2 separate regions of the Mus musculus genome follow, and region 1 is reported to be linked to region 2. The links are microRNA targets in miRTarBase. Many come from high-throughput screens and were not tested one by one. Region 2 holds a microRNA gene; the other region holds the end of a gene's coding sequence.
What was found. Region 2 holds the annotated microRNA mmu-miR-669o-5p (UAGUUGUGUGUGCAUGUUUAUGU, at 1,964-1,986, opposite strand). A microRNA usually pairs through its seed, bases 2 to 8, with sites in the 3' UTR of a target mRNA and lowers its output. Matches are read on the target gene's strand: a 7mer-m8 pairs with bases 2 to 8, a 7mer-A1 pairs with bases 2 to 7 and ends in A, and an 8mer does both.

Region 1: the mRNA of Ghdc is a reported target of mmu-miR-669o-5p. Seed matches in the 3' UTR shown: 7mer-A1 at 5,009-5,015.

Annotation. Positions count from the first base shown.
Region 1 is chr11:100,761,363-100,768,215 of GRCm38, forward strand. Ghdc (GH3 domain containing) reads right to left here. Exons shown (of 9, transcript NM_031871.1): 7 at 6,652-6,785; 8 at 5,922-6,007; 9 at 4,970-5,662. The coding sequence ends at 5,441. It overlaps Hcrt (hypocretin), which reads right to left and starts at 1,569. Exons shown (of 2, transcript NM_010410.2): 1 at 1,459-1,569; 2 at 331-803. The coding sequence starts at 1,479. The coding sequence ends at 432.
Region 2 is chr2:10,509,451-10,516,303 of GRCm38, reverse strand. It overlaps Mir669o (microRNA 669o), which reads right to left and starts at 2,004; the gene lies at 1,909-2,004. The region is part of intron 10 of Sfmbt2 (Scm-like with four mbt domains 2); the gene reads right to left. It overlaps Mir297b (microRNA 297b), which reads right to left and starts at 4,637; the gene lies at 4,529-4,637. Mir466d (microRNA 466d) reads right to left here and starts at 4,337; the gene lies at 4,242-4,337. It also overlaps Mir669m-1, Mir669m-2, Mir466n, Mir466g, Mir466h and Mir669a-2, and 2 more genes.

The DNA.
Region 1 (6,853 bases), not on the chromosome of region 2:
CAACACCACCGGGGAAATAGAGGGTAGTAAGATCGGGTCATTTAAGTATAAGGTCATGCTGATCTTTCCAGGGCAACCGAGGATACCCTGTTTCTAAATAAATAAAGTAGGTAGTAGAACAACATGAGGGCACATCGGTACCTCATTTCCACCCTCCCAAATGTGTAGCACACACCCCAGGACTGCAAGGTTCCTTGCTGGATTCTTCCCGACCAAATAAGTATTTGCAATGAGAAACACAAGCTGCTTCCAGGCCCTAGACTCGTCACAATTCTCAAGATGCTTTCCCGCCCCCTGGAGGCCTGAACTTGACACACAGAAACATAGATTAGTCACACCAACAGAGAATCGTCTTTATTGCCATTTACCAAGAGACTGACAGCGGCGAGCAGAGGGGGAAGTTTGGATCAGGACAAGGATAGAAGATGGGTTCAGACTCCGGACCCTCCCCGGGGTGCTAAAGCGGTGGTAGTTACGGTCGGACAGCCGCGACCAGAGCAGGGATGTGGCTCTAGCTCTGCGCCTGCGCGGCGGCCCATGGTCAGGATGCCAGCTGCGTGGTTACCGTTGGCCTGAAGGAGGCGCTGCAGCCGTCCCTGGAGGCCTGGAGGTCCAGGCCGCCGCTTTCCCAGAGTCAGGATACCCGCAGCGTGGTTGCCAGCTCCGTGCAACAGTTCGTAGAGACGGCAGGAACACGTCTTCTGGCGACAGCAGTCGGGCAGAGGCTGTGCGTCCACCCCAAGCGACAGCAGCGCCGGCGGCAGCAGTAGCAGCAGCAGCAGCGTCACGGCGGCCCAGGGAACCTAAAGGGGGACAGAGACAAGGTGCAAATGGGTTTCACTCCACACAGCCAGTTGGCTCTGAACCTCTTGTTGCCATAGATCCTGCTAGGCTGTCATTGGGTTTCCTGCGGCTGGCTCCTTTGTCAATTCATCCTTCAATACACAACTGAGCCTTATCGTCTTCGAAACCTTCATAGGCTTCTCTGGGGTAGAAGAAGTTTGTCCTGTGCAAACATATTTAAAGGCTTGACTCTCCACCCACAGACAGGTGCTTCTAAGTCTGTCTGCACCAAACTTACTAGCCCTTCCCTCCACACACAGCAGGTTTGTTCCTTTGCTGGGGAAACTGTACATTGTGGCTTTGATCTAGTTTCTCACCCCCTTGGGATAGCCCTTCCTCACCTACAAACCAGGCATAAAATCATCCCTACTACCCTGTTGAGTGCAAGACATAACTGACAAGCACAGAGAACATCGGAAATACAAGAACTCATTAAACGTGAGCTCCCACACAATGGCGTACCCAGTGTTAACCAAGGAGGCAGGTTGCCAAGAACCCACCCATACTCCTCTCTCAGTGCTACACGCTAGAAAGAGCATATGAGCCCAGTCCTCGGCAAGCACTATCATGGCCTCAGTAGTCTGATGATTTATGTCCCTGTTTCTGGCTCTTTACCTTTGTAGAAGGAAAGTTCATGGTGCCTGGAGCTCAGGGGAAAGTAATCTGGAGAGATGATCTCTTCAGTGCAGTGGTCCAAATACCCAAGAAGTCTGAGGCCGTCGTCTTCAGTGGCTCGCTTCCAGGGGCCAGGGGTTTATAATGCTCTGAGGTGTGTGTGCGGGGGAGACATGAGTATGTGTGTCCACCTTAAACCAGACAAAGGCATGTCTAAGATTAGCATCTTGCAGGGGAACCGTTTCCAGGTTGGACCCAAAGAATGGCCGCCCTGTCCCTGGTCCCCAGCTTGTCTGTCTGCCTGTTCCTTGGAGATAGGGCAGTTTCCGAGTACTAATGAGGTTACCTTGCACCCAGGAATCTAAGTTCACAAAAGAGGCCTTGGCTGGGACACTGGAAGGAGACAATGGGGGGGGGGACAGTTGCTAATTAGGGGCAGAAATGGCAGTCTGAGAATTACTGTCTATGGTATGTTGAAGGTAGGGAGGGTACCTGGGTGGCATACCCTCTCACCCCCACTGACTCTGTGGTCCATCAGGTTCCAGGGCCTTTTCCTCCATGGAAACAGCTTTTGACACCCTACTCCCCAACCCCTACCCCACCCCCCAGCTCTCCTTTTCTTCTGTCCCTTTCACCAAACTCCTCCATGGAAAGTCCTGGAGACTTACTGTGGGCCACGGGTGAGAGAGCAGCCAAGCCTGGAGTTCAGAAGCTGATGAAGGGTAGACATCTCCTGGGCCAGTAGAGAAGAGGGTAGTCTTACTCTGCCATCTCCAGGATTGAGCCACCATGGAACAGGGTGTGGGTGGTCAAGGACTCAAGCCACTTCCAGGCCAGGGTTCACCTTCAGGGTCCTTTTAAGAAGCCCTTGATAAAGCCGGGCAGTGGTGGTGCACGCCTTTAATCCCAGCACTTGGGAGGCAGAGGCAGGTGGATTTCTGAGTTTGAGGCCAGCCTGGTCTACAGAGTGAGTTCCAGGACAGCCAGAGCTACACAGAGAAACCCTGCCCCCCCAAAAAAAAAAACCCAAAAGAAAAAAAGAAAGAAAGAAAGAAAGAAAGAAAGAAAGAAAGAAAGAAAGAAAGAAAGGAAGAAAGAAGCCCTTGATGTAGATCAGTCCTGCATGGGTGCAGGGACAGTTGTGTGTCTACCTATTTTCTTTTCTTTTCTTTTTTTTTTTTTGATTTTTCGAGACAGGGTTTCTCTGTGTAGCCCTGGCTGTCCTGGAACTCACTCTGTAGACCAGGCTGGCCTCGAACTCAGAAATCCACCTGCCTCTGCCTCCCAAGTGCTGGGATTAAAGGCATGCGCCACCACGCCCAGCCCACCTATTTTCTTAAATTTTCTTATTTTTAGATTTATATGTATGAGTGCTTACCAGTGTGGAGGGATCTATACTGCACATGTGCCTGGTGCCTGTGACTACCAAAGGAGGGTTTTGGAACCCCTGGAACTGGAGTTATAGAGAGTTGTGAGCCACCAGGTAGGCACTGGAAACCAAGATTGGATCCTTTGCAAAAAAGTAGTAAGCGCTCTAATGGAACCATCTTTCCAGCCTCCAGGTCTCCTCCTCCAAGGCAGGTGTCAATCTGGGTGGGGTGCAGCCTGAGCCCAGGATAGTTCAAAGCAGGTCAAGAACTACCCAGACACCAGCAAAGATTAGACAGACACTTCCTTCTGGGTGGGGCAGAGGGTCCTTCAAAGGCTTTGATGAAAAGTAGCTTCCATTAGGTAGGTAAGGGGACAGAGTATGGCTGAGAAGGGACAACGCGGAACAAAAGCTTGGATGTTACAGTACTTGGCTCCAGAGGGATGGGGTGTGGGCATCACAGTTTCTATGGAACTAAAGGAGCTAAAGGAAAAGGTAAGGTGAATAGGGTTTTCCAGGGCCTTGTGTGCTAGGCTGGGCAGTCATTGGTGGGGGATTTTAAAAGACAGGTCTCTCTCTCTCTCTCTCTCTCTCTCTCTCTCTCTCTCTCTCTCTCTCTCTGTGTGTGTGTGTGTGTGTGTGTGTGTGTGTGTGTGTATGGGGGGGGAGAGGTTGTTGTGGTGGTGCTGGGGAGATGGCTCAGTGGTTAAAGAGCACTGACTGCTCTTTTAGAGGTCCTGAGTTCAATTCCCAGCAACTACAAGGTGGCTCAGAACCATCTGTAATGGCCCTTTTCCGGTATGTCCAAAGGGAGCAACAGTGTAATCATATCCATAAAATAAATGAAGAAATTTAAAAAAAAGGCTGATGTGGGACCGGCGAGGGAGGAGGGCAGAGGGAGGAGGAGGAAGACGGGAGGAGGGAAGAGCCCAGAACAGAAAGCTGGATCCTGATCTGGACTTGGGGAGGAGCTGGGGTCTTGGTCTCCTTGTCTTGCCACTTAGTTTCCTCACTACTATGGACACTCTCTTCAGGTAACTCCAACACTCCTTCCTGCTGTGACACTTTGTGTCTTGAAGGATAGTTTCCTCCTTTCTCCTGGTGGAAGTGATTTGTGCAGGCCAGGCCAGGCCAGGCCAGGAAGGAACCCAGTGCAGGGAAGCTGGCAACAGCTCTTTCAGCTGTGCTTGGCATGGGAGGGCAGAGGAGATCTGTCTACTTGGTTGTGAAAACCCTGGTGGGAGTCTCCAGGGCCTCCTCTATGCTCACAATTCCGGGACTAAACCTAAGCCAGTGTGCAGAGTAGGTGAAGGCCCTGAAGCTCAGGATAGAGAGGGAATGGATGGGCTTTGGTGGGGAGCCCAGATAGTGGCTGAAGCAGCATGTAGAGGACCCCACATGGCATCCCCAAAGCAGGGTCCTCTATATGGCTAAGAGAGCTTTTATTATTTTTTTTTTTATGTTTTTTTGAGACAGGGTTTTTCTGTGCAGTCCTGGCTGTCCTGGAACTCACTCTGTAGACCAGGCTGGCCTCAAACTCAAAAATCCACCTGCCTCTGCCTCCCAAGTGCTGGGATTAAAGGCGTGCGCCACCACTGCCCGGTGGCTAAGAAAGCTTTATCTGAAGGCCTAGAGCCTTCAGGTTCCGTAGCCAAGTACTTGATGTTTTCACAGACAACCTGGGTTTGGTTCCCAGCACCCACATAGCAGCTCTCAACCACCTGAAACTCCAGTTCCAGAGAATTCACTCTCCTCTTCTGGCCTCTGAGGGCGTTCACATATGCGTGGTGCACATGCACACATGCAGACACACACAGATAACATAAAATACATACATTAATATTTATATATATTTAATTTTATTTGGGGGTTGATCCAGGGAACAGAATGATAGAGTAAGCAGGGGAGAGGAGGATGGAGGGATGGGGGGATCTGGTAAGAAGAGCACTGAACACTGGGCCACTGTGGGCCACAGCCTCAGCCCTTCAGGTGGTTGTGCAAGACACACCCTAGACCACGAAACAATGAGGCTGAGGTTTTCTTTCTTTCTTTCTTTCTTTCTTTCTTTCTTTCTTTCTTTCTTTCTTTCTTTCTTTCTCTCTCTTTCTTTCTCTCTCTTTCTCTCTCTCTCTCTCTCTTTCTTTCTTTCAGATTTATTTATTGTTATATGTAGGTACACTGTAGTTGTCTTCAGACACACCAGAAGAGGGCATCGGATCTCATTGCGGATGGTTGTGAGGCACCATATGGTTGCTGGGATTTGAACTCAGGACCTTTGGAAGAGCAGTCAGTGCTCTTACCTGCTGAGCCATCTCACCACCCCTGAGCCTGAGGTTTCTTCATCTGCTCCAGGAGCACTGCCTACACTTTCAGCCCTTGCTGTACCTTGGCCAAGCACATGAGAAGGACCAGCAGTCTCACGAAGGATAGGCTGACGGGAGACCATCGATGATGGGTTCAGCTGTGTGCTCCAAGCCGGCATCTTAAAACTTGCCAATGAGTCCAATTGGACCCAATCAGACCACTGTTATGTGACATCTGGTCCAGGACTCAACATCCAGAGATGTTCCAGAGGAAAGAGTGAGGCAGAAACAGGAAGGCTGGCTGCCTTGGTTAGGATATCACCCTCTTCTGCAGGAGCTGGGCCAGGTGCCTGAGCCTGATGACCCGAGGCATTTCAGGAGGGCGGCAGGAGGAGGAGGAGAAGGCTGCCAGTGCTTCCCGGAGAACCCTGAAGCTCCCTGGCCTCACCAGATGGACTTTGGCAGGACCCACACTGCCCCGGAATCGCAAGGACTTGTACTGTGCGGAGGCTTCCTGCAGGCAGTTGTCAAGCTAAGGGCAGAATAGTGAGTTAAGGCCATGATGCGATGCGGTGGCATGTGTACTGGATATGCATGACCGTATCCAAGGCCACATGCACTTAGGATTTTGGTGTGTTGTGGGACCCATACTTCCTTTCTAGATTCTCTGAAAGGGGGTGCCGCCCCCTCCCTAAGGCCCATCCTCTTCCCTTAACTCTCTCATCTCCATGACAACTGGGAGCTTGTAGAGCAAAAGAGACTTCGAATCAGACCCAGGTCTCATCATTTACCTTGTCTCGATTTTCCTCCGACAGATTCCTCAACCCCCTCAGCTCTACAAACACTTCGTAGTGTGGGGCAGAACCCTCACAGGAGTCTGAGGATAAAGCCACAGGAAAGCAGACTTTCTGAGGACAAGGCAGCTTCGAGGGCTGACACCCTGCACCCTCACTTCTCCCCTCTTCTAAGCTTAATGGGGTAAGAGATGAATAGAGGGGAACCTACAAATGACTTCTAAATATGAGACAGATCAGGAAAGAAAAGAGGTGGAGACTGTAGGGATGGAAGTTAGATATAGAGAGGGACTTCCTCCCTCCCTCCCCCTCTCTTCCTTTCTTCCTTTCTTTCTTTCTTTCTTTTTTCTTCCTTCCTTCCTTTCTTTCTTTCTTTCTTTCTTTCTTTCTTTCTTTCTTTCTTTCTTTCTTTCTTTTCTTTCTTTCTCTTTCATGTAAATACACTGTTGCTGCCATCAGATACACCAGAAGAGGGGGGCCAGATCTCATTACAAATGGTTGTGAGCCACCATGTGGTTGCTGGGATTTGAACTCAGGACCTTTGGAAGAGCAGTCAGTGCTCTTAACCGCTGAACCATCTCTCTAGCCCTAAGAGAGGGACTTTCTTTAGGAACAGTGGGGAAGGGTGTGATTAATCTCCTTCCTAGATGTCTCTGGTCAGGGCGAACATGGGTCAGTGGATAGCCAGACCCAAGAAACGGAGGTAGGAGATGGTAGAGATGCTTACCCAGAACTCTGCTCTCCACACAGACATGGTCCAACAGCTTGGCCCCTGGCCACTGCCCCACTGCTTGGGCCAGGGCCACAGAGAATACAGTCTCATCAGTAACTTCTCCTCGAACATTCAGGGTTTGCCCCAGCCTGAGGAAGGAAGAAGGAGTGGGCCCAAGGCACAGGGACAGCCCCTCGTCATCCCCCCGGGGTCACCT
Region 2 (6,853 bases):
GGCAGTTGTCTACACCTGATGAGTGAGAACACTCACTGTCCCCGTACTGCATAATCTCTCACCTCTAAGTCACATGTTATTCAAATGGATCTAAGAGTGCCATTAATGTGTGCGTGTGCATGCATGAATATGTGTGCATGTATTTATATGTATATCAATATATATATACATGTACATGTACACACAAACACACATGCACATACATAGGGGTCATCACATGAATGCCAGGTTGATCTCTACCTCATCATGCAGTGAACATGAATTTGCACTCCTGATCATCCTGGCTCTGGCAAGGGGCGTCACCTGGTGAGTGAGACCTCTCTGTGGCCCAGTCATACAGAATCTCTAAGACTCACATATCATTGAAATGGATCGATGAGTGTCAATTTTCTGTGTGTTTGTGTGCATGTTTGTATGGGTATGTGTGTATGTATATGTATATTCATATACACACATGCACATGCACACATACATATACACACAGGCACATACACTGGGGGCATCACTAGAATCCGAAGCTGATCCTGGACTCATGAATTTGAGAATGAATTTCCACTCCTGATCCTCCTGACTCTGGCAAGCATTTTCACCTTGTGAGTGAGAGCACCCACTGATCCAGCCCTGCATAATCTCTAAAACTTTAAGTCACATGTCATTTAAAAGTATCAATGAGTGCCATTCGGGGTATGTGTGTGTGTGTGTGTGTGTGTGTGTGTATGTGTGTGTGTGTGTGTGTGTGTGTGTGTGTGTGCCTGTGTGTATGTGTTTGTGTGTATTTATATGTATATTCATATGCACACATACATTAGCACACAAAACTATGCAACATGAACATACACTGGGAAGGAACCCATAAAGCCAGGCTGATCTCTAAGCCATTTTGAAGTTATTCATAAATTTGAACTCCTAATCCTTCTGAATATGGGAAGCTTTTTCACATTGTGAGTAAAAAGTTTCATTAGCCCAATACTACATAATCTTTAAAGCTCTATGTCACACATCATTCAAATGTATCAATGAATGCCATTCCATGTTTGTGTGCTTGCATTTACATGTATGTTTATGGTATGTATATTTATATACACACATGTGCATACACAGGGACGTAAACACACATGCACATACACGGGTGGCATCACATGAATACCAGGATGATGTCCAGCTGAAGTTAAGCATGAATTTGAACTCCCGACCCTGCTCAATCTGTAATATGTTTGCACATGGCGAGTGAGACCGTTCACTGTCCCACTACTGCATAATCTCTAAAAGAATAAGTCACATAGCATTCAAATTAATGGATGAATTCAATTCCTCTGTGTGTGAGAGTGTATGTGCTTGCATTTGTGTGTGTGTGTGCGTGCGTATGATATATATATTCACATACACACAAGCACATGCACACACAAATATACACACATGGACATACATGGCTGAGAATCACATGAATCACAGGCTGATCTTAAAATCATCATGAAGTTAAGCATGAATTTGAACTCCTAAAACTCCTGATTCCAGCATACATTTTGACCTGGAGAGTGAGATCACGCACTGTCCCAGAACTGCATAATCTCTAAAACTCTAAGTGACATATCATTCAAATGGATCGATGAGTGTCATTTGTGTGTGTGTGTGTGTGCCGCATGTGTGTGCATGTGTCTGTATATGCAAAATCATATACATACATCCACATGCACACACACGAAAACACACATCGACATAAATGGGTGGCATCACATGAATGATCTATAACTGAAGTTAAGCATGAATTTGAAATCCTGATTAACCTGACTCTGTCAATCATTTACACCTGGTGAGTGAAACCATTCACTGTCCCCTATTGCATAATCTCTAAAACTCTTAAGTCAGTTATCATTCAAATGGATTGATGAGTGTCATTCTTGTGTCTGTGTGTGTGTGCTTGTGTTTATACGTGTGTGTGTATGTTATGTATATTCAAATACACACATAAACATGCACACACAACTATACACACATGCACATGCATGGAGGAATCACAGGCTGATCTCTCATGAGGATAAGTATGAATTTGAACTCGGGATACTCTTAACTCTAGCAAGGATTTTCACCTAGAGAATGAGAGCACTCACTGGCCAAGTACTGCATAATCTCTAATATGCTAAGTGACATATCATTCAAATGGATCAATGAGTGGCATTCGTGTGTGTGTGTGTGCTGCATGTGTCTGTACATGTATACTCATATATATACATTCACATGCACACACCTGTAAACACACATGCACATACACGGGTGGCATCACATGAATACCAGGATGATGTCCAGCTGAAGTTAAGCATGAATTTGAACTCCTGATCTTCTTGAATCTGCAAATTGTTTACACATGATGAGTGCGACCATTCATTACCCACTACTACATAATCTATAAGACTGTAAATCACATATCCTCTGTGTGTGTGTGTGTGTGTGTGCACGCACGCGCATGCAAGCGCACATGCACGTGTGTCTATGTATGCTCTCATGTATATGCATATTCATATACACACATGTACATGTACGCACACACAAACACACATGCACATACACAGGAGCCATCACATGAATGCCAGGCTGATCTCCAACTCATCATGCAACCAACATGAATTTACACTCTTGATCATCCTGAATCTGGCAAGGGTCTTTACCTTGTGAGTGAGAGCATTCATTGGCCCAGCACGGCATACTCTCTAAAACTCACATGTCACATGTCACATGTCACTCAAAATGATCTATGGGTGCCATTTCTGTGTGTGTGTATATCTGTGCATGCTTGTATATGTTTGTGTGGATGTATATGTATATTCATATACACACATGCACATGCACACAAAACTATACACACATGCAAATATATTGTGGGGAACCCCATAAAATCAGGCTGATCTCTACTCTCTTTTGAATTTATTTATGAATATGAATTCCTGACCCCTCTGAATATGGCAAGCTTTTACATAGTGAGAAAAACTTTCATTTGACCAGTACTACATAACCTTTAAAGCTCAAAATCACATATCATTCAAACATATCAATGAATTCCATTCCTTGTGTGTATGTGTGCATACGTGTGTCCATATACATGTATGTTTATGTTATATATATATATATATATATATATATATATATATATATATGTATATATATATATATATATATATATTCATTTACACAGATGTACACGCACACACATGTAAACACACATGCACATACATGGGTGGCATCACAGGAATACCAGGATAATCTCTAACTGAAGTTAATCATGAATTTGAAATCCTGATTCTCCAGACTTTGTCAATCATTTACAGCTGGTGACTGAGACCATTCACTGTCCCACTACTGCAGTCTCTAAAACTCTAAGTCACCTATCATTCAAATGGATCGATGAGTGCCATTCCTGTGTGTGTATCTGTGCTTGCTTGTATATGTTTGTGTGGATGTATATGTCTATTCATATACACACATGCACATGCACACAAAACTATACACACATGCACATACATTGGGGAGGATCCCATGAAGCCAGGCTGATCTGTACACCATTTTGAAGTTACTCATGAATTTGAACTCCTGATCCATCTGAATATGAAAAACATTTTACTGGTAAGTAAGAAGTTTCATTGGCCAAGTACTACATAATTGCTAAAGCTCTAAGTCACATATCTTTCAAACATATAAATGAATGCAATTTTTTCTCTGTGTGTGTGTGTGTGTGCTTGCATATACACATGTGTTTATGTTATGTATATTCATGTCAACACATGCACATGCACATACAAGTAAACACACATGCACATACATGGGTGGCATCACATGAATACCAGGATGATCTCTAACTGAATTAAGCATGAATTTGAAATCTTTATCCTCCTGACTTTGTCAATCTTTTACACCTGGTGGGTGAGACCATTCAATGTCCCCTATTGCATAATCTCTAAAACTCTACATGACTTATCATTCAAAGGGATTGGCGAATGCCATTCCTGTATCTGTGTATGTGTGCTTGCGTTTATACGTGTGTGTGTATGTTATGTATATTCAAATATAGACATGAACATGCACACACAACTATACACACATGCACATACATGGAGGAATCACATAAATCACAGGCTGATCTCTAAATTCTCATGAGGATAAGTATGAATTTGAACTCCTGATACTCTTAACTCTAGTAAGCATTTTCACTCTAAGTCACTTATCATTCAAATGGATTGATGAGTGCCATCCCTGTGTGTGTGTGTGCGTGCGTATCTATGTGTGCGTGTATGTATATGTATATTCATATACACACATGTACATGTACGCACACACAAACACACATGCACATACACAGGGGCCATCACATGAATGACAGGCTGATCTCTACCTCATCACGCAGTTAACATGAATTTGCACTCCTGATCACCCTGACTCTGGCAAGGGGCGTCACATGGTGAGTGTGACCTCTCCCTGGCCCAGTCATACAGAATCTCTAAGACTCTAAGACACATATCATTCAATAGAACAATGAGTATCCATTTTCTGTGTGTTTGTATGCATGTTTGTATGGGTATGTGTGTATGTATATGTATATTCATATACACATGTTCATGCACACATACATATACACACAAGCAAATAGATTGGGGGCATCACATGAATCCGAAGTTGATCCCAGACTCATCATGAAGTTGAGAATGAATTTTGACTGCTCATCCTCCTGACTCTGGCAAGCATTTTTACCTTTTGACTAAGAGCACTCACTGGCCCAGCACAGCATAATTTCTAAAACTCTAAGTCACCTGTCATTCAAAATGATTGATGGGTGTGTGTGTGTGTGTCTGTGTATCTGTGCTACTTCTATATGTTTGTATGGATGTATATGTATATGCATATGCACACATGCACATGCACATAAACTATACACACATAAACATACATTGGGGGGAACCCCGTGAAGTCAGGCTGATCTCTATGTCATTTTGAAATTACTCATGAATTTGGACCCCTGATCCATCTGAATATAACAAACATTTTTACTGGTAAGTAAGACGTTTCATTGGCCCAGTAATACATACTCTTAAAGCTCTAAGTCATATATCATTCAAACGTAACGACGAATGCAATTTCTTCTGTGTGTGTGTGCCTGCATATACACGTGTGTTTATGTTATGTATATTCATATCAACACATGCACATGCACATACAAGTAAGCACACATGCACATACATGGGTAGCATCACAGAAATACCAGGATGATCTCCAACTGAAATTAAGCATGGATTTGAACTCCTGATCCTCCTGACTCTGTGGTTTACACCTGGTGATTGAGACCATTCACTGTCCCACTACTGCATAATCTCTAAAACTCTAAGTCACCTATCATTCAGATGGATCGATGAGTGTCATTCCTGTGTCTCTGTGTGTGTGTGTGCTTGTGTTTATATGTATGTGCATGTTATGTCTATTCATATACACACATGCACATGTACACAAAACTATACACCCATGCACATACATGGGTGGCAATCACATGAATCACAGGCAGATATCTATATCCTCCTGAAGATAAGCATGAATTTGAACTCCTGATACTCCTGATTCTAGCAAGCATTTTTACCTAGAAAATGACAGCACTCACTGGCCCAGTACTGAATAATTTCTAATATTCTAGGTGGCATATCATATAAATGGATCTATGAATGTTATTCGTGTGTGTGTGTGTGTGTGTGTGTGTGTGTGTGTGTGTGTGTGTGTGCACGCTAGGGTTTATATGTCTATGTATATGTTATGTATATCCATATAGACACATGAACATACACACACAACTATACAAACCTGCATGTACACTTAAGGCATCACATGAATCACAGGCTTATCTCTAAATCATGCTGAAGATAAGCATAAATTTGAACTTCTGATACTCCTAACTATAGTAAGCATTTTCACCTAGAGAATGAGAGCACTCACTTGCCCCATACTGAATAATCTCTACTACTCTGAGTGGCATATCATTTAAATGGGTCAATGAATGCCATTCCTGTGTCTGTGTGTGTGCTTGCGTTTATACGTGTGTGTGTATGTTATGTATATTCAAATATAGACATGAACATGCACACACAACTATACACACATGCACATACATGGAGGAATCTCAGGCTGATCTCTCATGAGGATAAGCATGAATTTAAACTCCTGATACTCTTAACTCTAGCAAGCATTTTCACCTAGAGAATAAGAGCACTCACTGGCCAAGTACTGCATAATCTCTAATATGCTAAGTGACATATCATTCAAAGGGATCGATGAAAGCCATTCTTGTGTCTCTATGTGTGTGTGCTTGCGTTTATACGTGTATGTTATGTATATGCAAATACATGCATGAACATGCACACACAACTATATACACATGCACAATCATGGGGCCATCACATGAATCACAGGCTGATCTCTAAATCCTCATGAAGGTCAGTATGTGTTTTAACTCCTGAATACTCTTAACTCTAGCAAGCATTTTCACCTAGAGACTGAGAGCACTCACTGGCCAAGTACTGCATAATCTCTAATACTCTAAGTGACACATCATTCCAATGGATTGATGAGTGGCATTGGTGTGAGTGTGTGTGTGTGTGTGTGTGTGTGTGTGTACTTGCATTAGTGTGTGTATGTTATGTATATTCAAATACAGACATGCACACACAACTATACTCACATGCACACACATGGGCGATATCACATGAATACCAGGATGCTATCTAGCTGAACATAGGAGTGAATTGGAACTCCAGATCCTCTTGACTCTTTCAATCGTTTACAACTGGTGAGTGAGACAATTCACCGTCTCTACTTCAAAATCTCT